Linked DNA regions of Drosophila melanogaster. Changing the gene in region 1 together with any one later gene gives a genetic interaction. Each region holds a gene or a part of one and is shown on either strand. Other genes may lie near its edges.

The links. A genetic interaction does not mean that the proteins touch.
Region 2: of Sc2 (region 1) and Kr, changing one suppresses a phenotype caused by changing the other (phenotypic suppression), as found in Drosophila melanogaster (2 studies listed by BioGRID).

What each region holds. Positions count from the first base shown.
Region 1 is NT_037436.4:3,901,507-3,905,567, reverse strand, and holds Sc2 (Sc2), read right to left. Parts: upstream 2,077-4,061; 5' UTR 2,028-2,076; coding exon 1,657-2,027; intron 1,500-1,656; coding exon 1,283-1,499; intron 1,063-1,282; coding exon 947-1,062; intron 885-946; coding exon 680-884; 3' UTR 533-679; downstream 1-532. Other genes in the region: ida (imaginal discs arrested), read right to left, coding at 29-211; Ubi-p63E (Ubiquitin-63E), read left to right, coding at 3,809-4,061.
Region 2 is NT_033778.4:25,224,798-25,231,926, reverse strand, and holds Kr (kruppel), read right to left. Parts: upstream 5,317-7,129; 5' UTR 4,976-5,316; coding exon 4,939-4,975; intron 4,566-4,938; coding exon 3,094-4,565; 3' UTR 533-3,093; downstream 1-532. UniProt on the Drosophila melanogaster protein: Krueppel is a gap class segmentation protein. It is involved in the segmentation of the embryo and in the differentiation of the Malpighian tubules.

The DNA.
Region 1 (4,061 bases):
CACGGAGTAAATAAGTGGGTGCACCTACAATCACATACTGTTTGAGCAATATCAACACGGTAATCTTGTGCGCCGTGGGCGTCTCGATGCGGGGAGGCTCTAGTTTGAAGGAGGGGTCCAAGGTGTCCAGCTCCTCGAACAGATTCATGGTTAATTTAGGGCCTCTAAATCCAATTTTCGATTTGCCGGCAAAATGTAAACACAAAATCATCAGCCGCAGCCAACTTAGCTTCGCTGGAGATGCCAAACGGTACGGAGTTCAGCAGTGTGGCAGCTCCAGATGGCGCGTTGTTTCAAAATGTTTGTTCAATAAAAATGCATTATTGGTTTACTAAAGCTATAAAAAAGGTGTTTCATTCTGAAATAAAAGTGTTAAAAATAAATGACCCAAGGTGGCCACTTATTTTTAGCAAGGTAAGCACCTGGCACACCTTTGAAAGCCCCAAATAAACTATTACTGATTACACGCGCTTCGTCGAACTTCCCATACGATCGATCAAAGTCCAAAAAGCGACGAAAACACGCCAAATGTACGCTTCTCCAATTTGTATTTGCTTTAAATCAACGAAAGCACAAAGTTCACTAGACAACTACCCTGTTAAACGCTAGCCAAATGTGTAAATGTATAATGTGGAATAGGTAATACAGCGAATGCGTCATGGGGATACCCACATCCAACCTACAGGACGAAGGGGAAGATGGAGCGGCGCTGGCGAGGGTAGTCCTTAAACTCCTTCTTGTAGTTGCGATGCTTGGCCAAGGCCCAAATGGTCATCTGGAAGGCTCCGGCAAAGGCGAACAGATAGGCAGCCAGGCAAGAAGTCAGCACAGAGAATGAAACCCAGGCACCGATCTCATAGGTGTAGTTGGGGCAAGAAACCAAGCTGCAGTTCGAAGAGCGCGAATTAATAAACTTGAGCTGTGGGTTTTTTTAGTGACCACTTACTCGAACAGCTTGGTGAGGGGATTTCCATCGGCCACCGGAATCTTGCGCACTTTTGTTCCCGGCGGACGCAGGTTGCGCAGGGCAATGTGCACCGAAAAGTTTCCTAGTTCGCAGAGCTGAAAGTGAAAAGTGTGCGGCTTAGTTTGTGGGTCTGCAAATATGATTAATGGATCCCAAATATATAGCACATATAACATTACAAATTGCTTGACCAATTTTAACAAAAAGCTACACCTTTGGTATTAAGAAACAAATGTTTCGAACAAAAGCAAAGGAAACCGGTAGATTACGAAAACATATAACCCAGATCCATAAACCATGGCCGCGGATACATACAGCGAATGCCCCAAGAGCTCCCCAAACGGTGCACATGCAGGGCGAGGTGAACTGCGGATGGTTCACGTGGTAGGACACATAGGCGGTGAATCCCCAGTAGTATGTGCAGTTCTTGAAGAGATTCCTCAGCGGCATGGTGGCGTGCGAGAAGCGGTGCACGAAAATCGTCTCCAGCAGACGCTTCACATAGTGGACCGTATAGCAGCCGGCGGCAATGCTGGGGCAAAAGAGAAAAGAAAGCGGGTTACTGGGTGAACCACCATCCAAAGTTCGGGGATAATTATGCAGAGCCGTTGCGTTTTAGTTTGCATAAGCGACGAGGTCGATTAGGTCGACAATCGAAAGACTTCAGAGACTACTTTCTACAAACTCACTGGGTGGTTAGGGAAATCGGCAGACTGGCAGCTTTGCCGTACACCAACTCCGGTCGGAAGTAGAAAATCAAGTATACAATCAGTGGGCCGGCGTACTCGGCCAGGAAAACGGTCTTCCAGCCAATCTGGGGACCCAGATCCTTCACATAGATCTTGTCGCCGGAACGCAGCGACAGGGATTCCAATGTGTCCGTATCCTTTAGGCTTTTGCCCTTCAGTTCCAGACGAAGCGACTGGCGATTCGCGTGTGGGGTCTGCTTCAGGGTCTTGTGAATTAGGGCGCGCAGATCGCCGATGGGCGTGGCGCCGGAGGGCACCTTCACCTTGCCGTACGGCTTGCTGTTCTTCGCGTTCAAAATCTCCAGCTCCATTTTGCTTTCGGTGCGCTTGCAATCAGTACTGTCCAAAATCGAAAATCGCCGAACCGTAGTGTGACCGTGCGGGGCTCTGCGAAAATAAACTTTTTTAGGTATATGGCCACACACGGGGAAAGCACAGTGGATTATATGTATTAATATATTATCCAGGTTTTCATTACTTATCCAGATGTAAGCCCACTTAAAGCGATTTAACAATTATTTGCCGAAAGAGTATAAACAAATTTTACTTAAAAATGGATTAAGAAAAGCTTGTGTAAGATTATGCGCAGCGTTGCCAGATAGCTCCATTTAAAACACTTCAAAAACAATAAGTTTTGAAAATATATACATAAATAGCAGTCGTTGCCGCAACGCTCAACACATCACACTTTTAAAACACCCTTTACCTACACAGAATTACTTTTTAAATTTCCAGTCAAGCTGCGAGTTTCAAAATTATAGCCGGTAGAGAAGACAGTGCTATTTCAAAAGCAAACTAACAAGGGTCTTAAATTCCAAAACACCAATCCTAACAAGCCTTGGACTTTTGTAAGTTTAGATCAAAGGTGGCATTGCATTCAATGTCATGGTAAGAAGTAGGTCGTCTAGGTAGAAATCCTCATTCAGCCGGTCAAGTCAGTACGAGAAAGGTCTCAATTTGAAATTGTCTTAAAAATATTTTATTGTTTTGTACTGTGGTGAGTTTAAACGAAAAACACAAAAAAAAAGTGATACATAGAAATCATAAAAAATTTTAATACAAGGTATTCGTACGTATCAAAAACATTTCGGCACAATTTTTTTTCTCTGTACTAAAGTGTTACGAACACTACGGTATTTTTTAGTGATTTTCAACGGACACCGAAGGTATATAAACAGCGTTCGCGAACGGTCGCCTTCAAAACCAATTGACATTTGCAGCAGCAAGTACAAGCAGAAAGTAAAGCGCAATCAGCGAAAAATTTATACTTAATTGTTGGTGATTAAAGTACAATTAAAAGAACATTCTCGAAAGTCACAAGAAACGTAAGTTTTTAACTCGCTGTTACCAATTAGTAATAAGAGCAACAAGACGTTGAGTAATTTCAAGAAAAACTGCATTTCAAGGTCTTTGTTCGGCCATTTTTTTTTATTCAACGCTCTACGTAATTACAAAATAAGAAATTGGCAGCCACGCATCTCGTTTTCCCAATGAATTGGCATCAAAACGCAAACAAATCTATAAATAAAACTTACGTGTTGATTTTCGCCAAGATTTATTGGCAAATTGTGAAATTCGCAGTGACGTATTTGAAAATTCGAGAAATCACATACGCACTCGAGCATTTGTGTGCATGTTATTAGTTAGTTGTTTAGTTAATTGAAGTATTTTACCAACGAAATCCACTTATTTTTAGCTGAAATAGAGTAGGTTGCTTAAACAAAGCCACGTCTGAAAATTTCTTATTGCTTGTAGTTGTGACGTCACCATATACACACAAAATAATGTGTATGCATGCATTTCAGCTGTGTATACATACATGCACACACTCGCAACACGAAAACGATGACGAAGCAACGGAACAAAGGTTTCTCAACTACCCTTTGTTCCCTGTTTCTTCGCTTTCCTTTGTTCCAATATTCGTAGAGGGTTAATAGGGGTTTCTCAACAAAGTTGGCGTCGATAAATAAGTTTCCCATTTTTATTCCCCAGCCAGAAAGTTAGTTTCAATAGTTTTGTAATTTCAACGAAACTCGTCTGATTTCGTACTAATTTTCCACATCTCTATTTTCTTCCCGCAGAATAATCCAAAATGCAGATCTTTGTGAAGACTTTGACCGGAAAGACCATCACCCTCGAGGTAGAGCCCTCGGACACCATTGAGAATGTTAAGGCTAAGATCCAAGACAAGGAAGGAATTCCCCCAGATCAGCAGCGTCTGATCTTCGCCGGCAAGCAACTGGAAGACGGACGCACCCTGTCCGATTACAACATTCAGAAGGAGTCCACCCTTCACTTGGTCCTTCGTCTCCGTGGTGGTATGCAGATCTTCGTGAAGACTTTGA
Region 2 (7,129 bases), on another chromosome or scaffold:
TTAGGGAGCTTATAATAATGTCTTTCTTGGATAAGCGCCAGTCTTAGAATTTGTGAGCAGAAGTCTGCTGGTAAAAATTATAATTTTTCAGTTTAAATAATAACGACAGTAAGTTGGGTGCGTCGGCGGTTCTTTGCCAGCGAAGGCCTTAAATTCATTTTCAAGGCCTTTTATTTTTCATTCCTTTGCGGAACACGAAATATTTAAAAAAATCGTAAACTCATTTGAAAGTTTTCTATGTCCAACACCAAACTATTTACTCGGCAGCTAAAAAAAAAGCTTTTGAGGGTGAGGATTGGGGGTTCGAATAAGATATACGTACCTATCTACACTATAAAACTGGCAATTACCAGTTTATTCCCGTTTCTTCTTTTAACTTATTTATAATAAGCTTTTATTGGTAAAATTAGGGTAAACAGTTTTAGCATAAGGTTTATTTGGCTAACATTACGTTTAACTTTTTAATTATTGAATTGTTTTTATTTACGTATACGCTCATAGAGTATGTTTACAGAAGTCTAAGCGAAAAAAGCCTAAAATGCTAATAAGCATCACAAAACGTGAGCATTTGTCCTGCGTCTCACTCTTTTACTCCGTTTTATATATGTACGTGTGTAAGTACATAAGACGTTCTTTATGTAATACTTGTACATACAATTTTATATAGAGGGGGCTGCCAGGATGAAGCCTTTTTTGGCTGTTGAAAGGGGCACAAAGAAGAGAAGGCGTCAGTTCCGCGGCATGGCTGAACGGGAGGCGATTGGTATGAGTGGGTGGCGTCGACTTTCTTTCATAGCATTGTAGATGTTTGCTCTCTCTCTCTGGAGATTAAATGGAAAAAACACTGTGACATTTTCTGACTGCGCGGCGCGATTTTTATATTCGTTTTTGCTCAGCTGCTGCCGTTGCCTGCAGACGTAAATTTAAATTCCAGTGAAGGGATGGATGAATAAAGGGGGTGACGTGGGGAGGAACGTGGCGACGGCATTAGTGGGGCGTCTTGTGGCAAATGTAAAATAATGCGAAAGGGCTTCGTTTGCATAAATTAAAAATTTATGTAATGCTGCCCGTTTTCTCTTTTACGAAAAATCGAAGAAAGCTGTGGGTAATTTTCTAAAGCGGGGTTGCTACGAATATTTTTTGCTTTACACAATTATCTCATATGTATATACATATATATACATATATATATTTATATTCATTTATTTTTGGTTTCCCAGACAGCAATTTTTAAATTTAACATAATATATTTCGATTTTTATGTAATAAATACATATTTGCCGATGTATACATATGTATTTATTATTGATATAGGTAGAACATTAAATTAGAGAAGAAATAGTTATGACAAAAAGTAACAGTTTCGTTTACTATATGCTAGACTGACATATCTAATGCAATCATGTACCATAAAATACATTTTCTAGTTTATATTTACTGACGTATTTTACAAGGTGTATGTGTGTATGTCTTTAAAGGGTTAAAATTAGCAACCCCCTAATTAACACATATAACTCTTATTTTTTGATACATTGCACATCCCTAGCCACAATTAGGATTATAATTTATTTACATAAAAATTGACTTGTGATTTTATAAATTTAATTATATCTATTGGGTTAAACGTCGAATGTTGCTGTACACAATTAATATGATGTCTTTCGTGCGCTGACTTTCAAATGATTAGAAATGCACTCTCTATTTTAGTTTATAGCTCTTGTATTCTTTTAATCTTGAGGAACTTGTATACCATACATTTGAATGAACAAAGAAAATTACATATTAATTTGTTACATTATTATGACTACAACGTTTTAAAATAAAAGCAGTAAGCTTACCAATGAATAGAACGAAAAATTGCACTAAATTTATTTCAAATTGTTATTGTTATATACAACCTTATATACTTTTATATGTAATTTGAATTGGCCTAGTATTTAAAATTAATTTCTTATTTTAGGTCCATTTAAATATGCATCAAAATTTTAATACATATAAATTGTTTATGCTTCGTAGTTTATATTCCTAAGTCTTGTATATAAATTCAGTTGAATTGTACGATTGCCAAATTGTTGAATGTATATACTGTTTAGCTCACAACAATTTCGATACAGAGGTATTGGAGGTATTTGGTTATAGCAATTTCTTCCTGTGTATTTGGTTCAAGTCTTACAATTAAAACTAATAGTTACGAGTGTTAAGATAAGTGGGATTACTATACTTTCGATACGCATTGATCTACATTAGGTTATTATTTTGGAATATATATTAACGTTTCTTATAGTTTGCAACAAAAAAAAAAAGATTTTCAAAAATGGATGCGTAAACTGTGTTTAAGTTATGGCAATATGAAATAAAAGCGGAATCAGTTAAATATTAACGTTACCATTGATTTTCTTTTTTCTTTATTGTTTATATTTGAAGCAGCAACAATTAAACCAAATATTTATTGAAGTATAAATATAAAAGTGTACATTTAAGAATGATCTTTAAAAAAACAGGATTAACTAAATTTTTATATTTAATAATAGTTTTAAATAGAGAATGCAAACAGAACAATTATCAAACAAATGTTTTTTATTATTTAACTTAAAGTTAGTTTTGATTTGAAGATTATTGGCATTGTTTTCTTAAAGAATTTGATTAAATTATAAAAAATTAAGCTAATAAATTAAATAAAATTAGTTATAGATTTCCTAATTAAACTTCGTGTCTTTTATTTTTCTGCAACAATGCATGTTTAGAGCGCCGATTACTTTACAATTGGCAGCTGTGTAAGCTGAATATGTACAATTTAAGATTCCGAACCTAAGAATATAACTTAAATTTAAGGTAAAGAATGGCACGACATTTTCGATTTGATTTGGTGGGGTTTGGCGGTAACAAGCATACGGTATGGCTTACTTTGTACAATTTCGACTTTTTTGTATGTTATTTTTTTTTAAACTTGTACTTATCATTATATTCCTGTTGCAACAATTTTTACTTTCCACTTTGAAATAGCAAAATTTTCAATTTTGTGTTAATAAATGCCAGTCAATTTCATCAAATGAAAACTGATTAGGGCTATGTACAATTCGGTGTGGTACTGGCCTAATGTTGTTGATGGCCCATATAAGAAGCCGGGGCATCATCTAAATCATACAAGTCAATATCATCGGTTTGCTCGTGAGATCCGATAGAGCGAGGAGAGTGCATGCTCAAATCCTCTGGCTCGGTTTGCTCAGGCATATCACTGGGTACGTGAGGGATTTGCGGTGGAGGCAGCCGGAAAACCCGACGAATGTCCTGTGCCTTGCGCCGTGCGATGTTGCTGCAATGGCCATCCACAGAGCTGGCTCCATCTTCAGACAAATCCAATGGACCATCGTCCTCCGGTGTCGCTTTTTCCATGTCGACCGACTCATTCGAACCTCCGTAGGTGGCACACATTGCCGCAAATCTATTCGTGGATGCCTCGATAGCAATTGCGGAGATTGCCACGGGGTAATCTCCACTCATGGCCGGTGAAAGCGCGGGAGTAGGCGGCGACTGGATGCCACACTTGTGATTCATCAGATGGTGGCGCCGTCGGAACTTCATGTGACACCGTTCGCACTCGAACGGCTTTTCACCGTTGTGTACCAGCATGTGGGACTTAAGCTGATTGGAGTCACTGAATTTGCCATCGCAGATTTCACAAGTATAGGGACGCTCTCCAGTGTGGACTCGCAAATGTCGTCTAAGATTGGCCACCTGAACGAATTGACGATCGCAGTGCGAGCAATGATATGGTTTTTCTCCAGTATGCAAACGCATGTGGGTTTTTAAGTGATGGTCACGAGTAAACCGCTTGTGGCACTCCGGACATTCGAAAGGCTTCTCACCGGTGTGGGTGCGTTCGTGGTTCTGAAGCACGTGCTTATAGCCAAAGCTGCGTGAGCAGATTTTACAGGTGAAGCTTTTGTCGCGAGATGGATCCTTGGAGACACCGACACATCCAGCATTTCCACCCGCTCCGTCGTGCGTTGAATTAGGAGAGCTGCCACTGGAAGGCGGAGATATTGGGCCTCCCGATGTATGGTACATATCGTTTACACTCATGCTGATCTCGGTCTGAAACTCCTTCTTAACCGATAACTTTCGAGCCTTCTTCGCTGGCTCATGGTGCTGGGGAGTGCTGTTGGGGGAATTTAATGGGTGCTTGCCACTACCTAAAGGAGTGGACAGCGGCGAGTGCGGGCTGGCTGGCGGCGAATGTAAATGCGTACCCTGGGGCGGGAGCGACTGTTGGGCAGCCCAAGCCCCAAACAAAGCCGCCGGATTGTGTGGAAAGAGAGTGTTGGCCAATGTGCTCATGGGCAGTTGGGCCATGAATGCGGCAGCTTGACGGTTTGCAGCCAGAAGTTGGGTAGGTGAGAGCATTCCAAAAGCTGAGGCAGCGGCCGCCTGTTGGAGACCCATAGCTGGATAAATCGCAGCGGCGCTTGTAGCTGATGTGTTGGCCGACATGGGGGGCGATAGCGACATGGAACGGTCTAGATGAACGTCCTCTTGTTTTATGCCAGCTAATGCAGCAGCTAAGGCTAAAAAAAAAATCATAAGTTAGTATGTTTTCATTTGGAAATGTCTTAAGAGCAACGGCTTAAAAGAGAAAAAAATTTTACATATGATACATGTGTGAGAGAAAGTTTCGTACGGAGAGAACTCTTAGTGTTTTCGCAGCTCTCTATTTTCGTCTAACTAGTTTTTGTTTTGGTCGATAACGAGTTAAGTGCCGGTTCCTGTCCAAACATGTAAACAAATTCTAACTAATCGGTATGTGTGCAATTACATTACATTTGTATTTTCTATCCTAAAGACATCGGACTGTTTAATAATGAGAAAGTGATCGGGGACTCTAGAACTTCTAGATAGTTTACAAACTTGGGGAATATTTTAATTTGGTCTAATACTTACTTCGCGTTTGTGCGTCTTGAAGCATTGATATGGACATCAACAAATTCTTCTTGTGCTCCTAATTTTGTGCTCGCGCAATGTTTTCCCGCACACAGAAAACACCTATAATATTCGCCTTCGTGGTTTTGGAGCTTCAGTTTTTTAGACAACAAAATTTCATTTGAGCAATTTGTGCACTTTCAGGGATATGAATAATTTTTGTACACACTTTTGTACTTTGAGGTAGAGAGATTTCACAAAAATTGTCTTTTATAAAAGTTTACCGATTTAGCAAAATGAGGTAGTTGAAATTTGATTCGATTATATTACTCGCGGTTGTGTGTGGCACAACAAATGGTTGTTCCTTTCGCTGACAGAGCCAAATCACGACTGATACAAATTCGCTGCGTGAGCTAACTATAAGTACGCTCTGTCTCGGCGAAAGATTCTCACTCACCCTCGTACGCACACACGCCGGGACTCAATTGGCTCTCCCGCTCACACGCACGCAAATAAGGGTGCAGACAGGAAGGGAAATCATCACGGCGAAAGCGAAAAACGATCCCCAAGCCTGAGCAGGTAAAGTAAAAACTGGGTACTTCGCTGAGTTGAGTGAGTTGATTTCATCGATTCCTTTTTATACCTAAAAGTGCTAATTTTTCATATGCAAATTGGTGCGAATGAGACAGCTAGAGGTTCCTTTCAATGCAAAAGATATATAGTCAGTTAGAGTCAAATATGGACGATGTGGTTTTTTAACATAGGTTGTCGATGCGAATTATCTTCGCTGAGTAGAGGGTTTTATGACCTTTACGTTTCTAGTCAGTAATAAAACATAAAAAATCAGAACTATGTGTTGACCGTTAAAGGACATTTTTTAATGCTTATGACCACTTCCGCTTGTGTTTTTTAGAGCCTTCATAAAAACTGCACTTGCAGGAATATTACACCACATAAAGATCACGTAGAAGTTTTTAGAGTTAGTAAGGGACGCACAACAAAAACTCACTCAGATGTGCCTTTGTCATTTCCCCTTTTTACATTTGAGCTATAGAAAATAACTAATGTGTCTAAGGGGGATGAACGCCAATGGAGAACAGGGCGAAAATGAAACAGCGAGAGCAAAAGAGCCAAAATTCATGAAAAGAGATGTCACGGACGGGGTTGAATTTCAAGCGTGCGCTGTACGAGTAAACAGGAAGTAAACAAAACATCGGCTTAAGGAGTGCAGAAAGTAAGAAAGAAGGTCGACGGTTTTTTACCAGCTATACTGAGTGAGTTTTTTGTCTTCCTTGTAGCCTGTTGAGCAAAGTCTCAAAGACGTGGAAGTTCAGTTTAATGGACAACTAATTATTGGCACACGTCTAAAAAAGAAATCGTAAAAAGGAACTAGTAAAAAACGGATTCAGGTAGAAAGGAAATATAATAAAAAATTGTAAGAGAGCTGCATCGTTGAAATTTTCTTGCTTGTATAGACGTTTTCTGTGACTTTTGCGGATTGACTTTTAAATGGTTTTATGTAGATTTTTATGGCAAGGACATGCTATGTTAAATTTATGTTGAAAATCGGTATTTTTGGTTTTGTAGGTAGGCCAAGGACGCTCAGAGCTCACCGGGTGGTAAATTTGAACTACCGTGGATTTTAAGAAAGTGAAACCAAACAAAAGCAGAAAGGCACACAAATATCCTTGCTCTGCATAATGTTACGTAAAATTATAATGGTTTTGTCATCGAATGTTCGACTTCATAGAAAGTTTTTCACCAAAACAAAATTCGCAGAAGGCATTAAATAATATGCAAGCAAAGCGCTTAAAACTGACCCTATTGATAAGAAATTCTTAAATTTCGGGCTGAGCTGACCGGTTTTAGAAAATCTTCATACGATTCCTATGTTTCGGCGATTAGTCAGAAATTTTTTTTGGTTGTTTGCGTGATAAGCAGAGGCTTGATATTGAAAGATCCACTTAAGCTCAACAGATTTTAATAAGATCCGGGCCTTATCGTTAATGACTTTGTCGGCAATCACTAAACTAGAATAGTATCAAAGCGAGTAAAAGAAAAATAGACTAGATTTTGATTGGCAAAGCGAACTAAAGATTTCCGAGTGAATGGGGCAGAAGTGCGTGTAAAGTGCGTATGGTCGAGGCCGCTGATAAGGTCCGAAATATGGGAACTTACCTGGGTCAACAAAATTAGTTTAGTTAGTTATTAT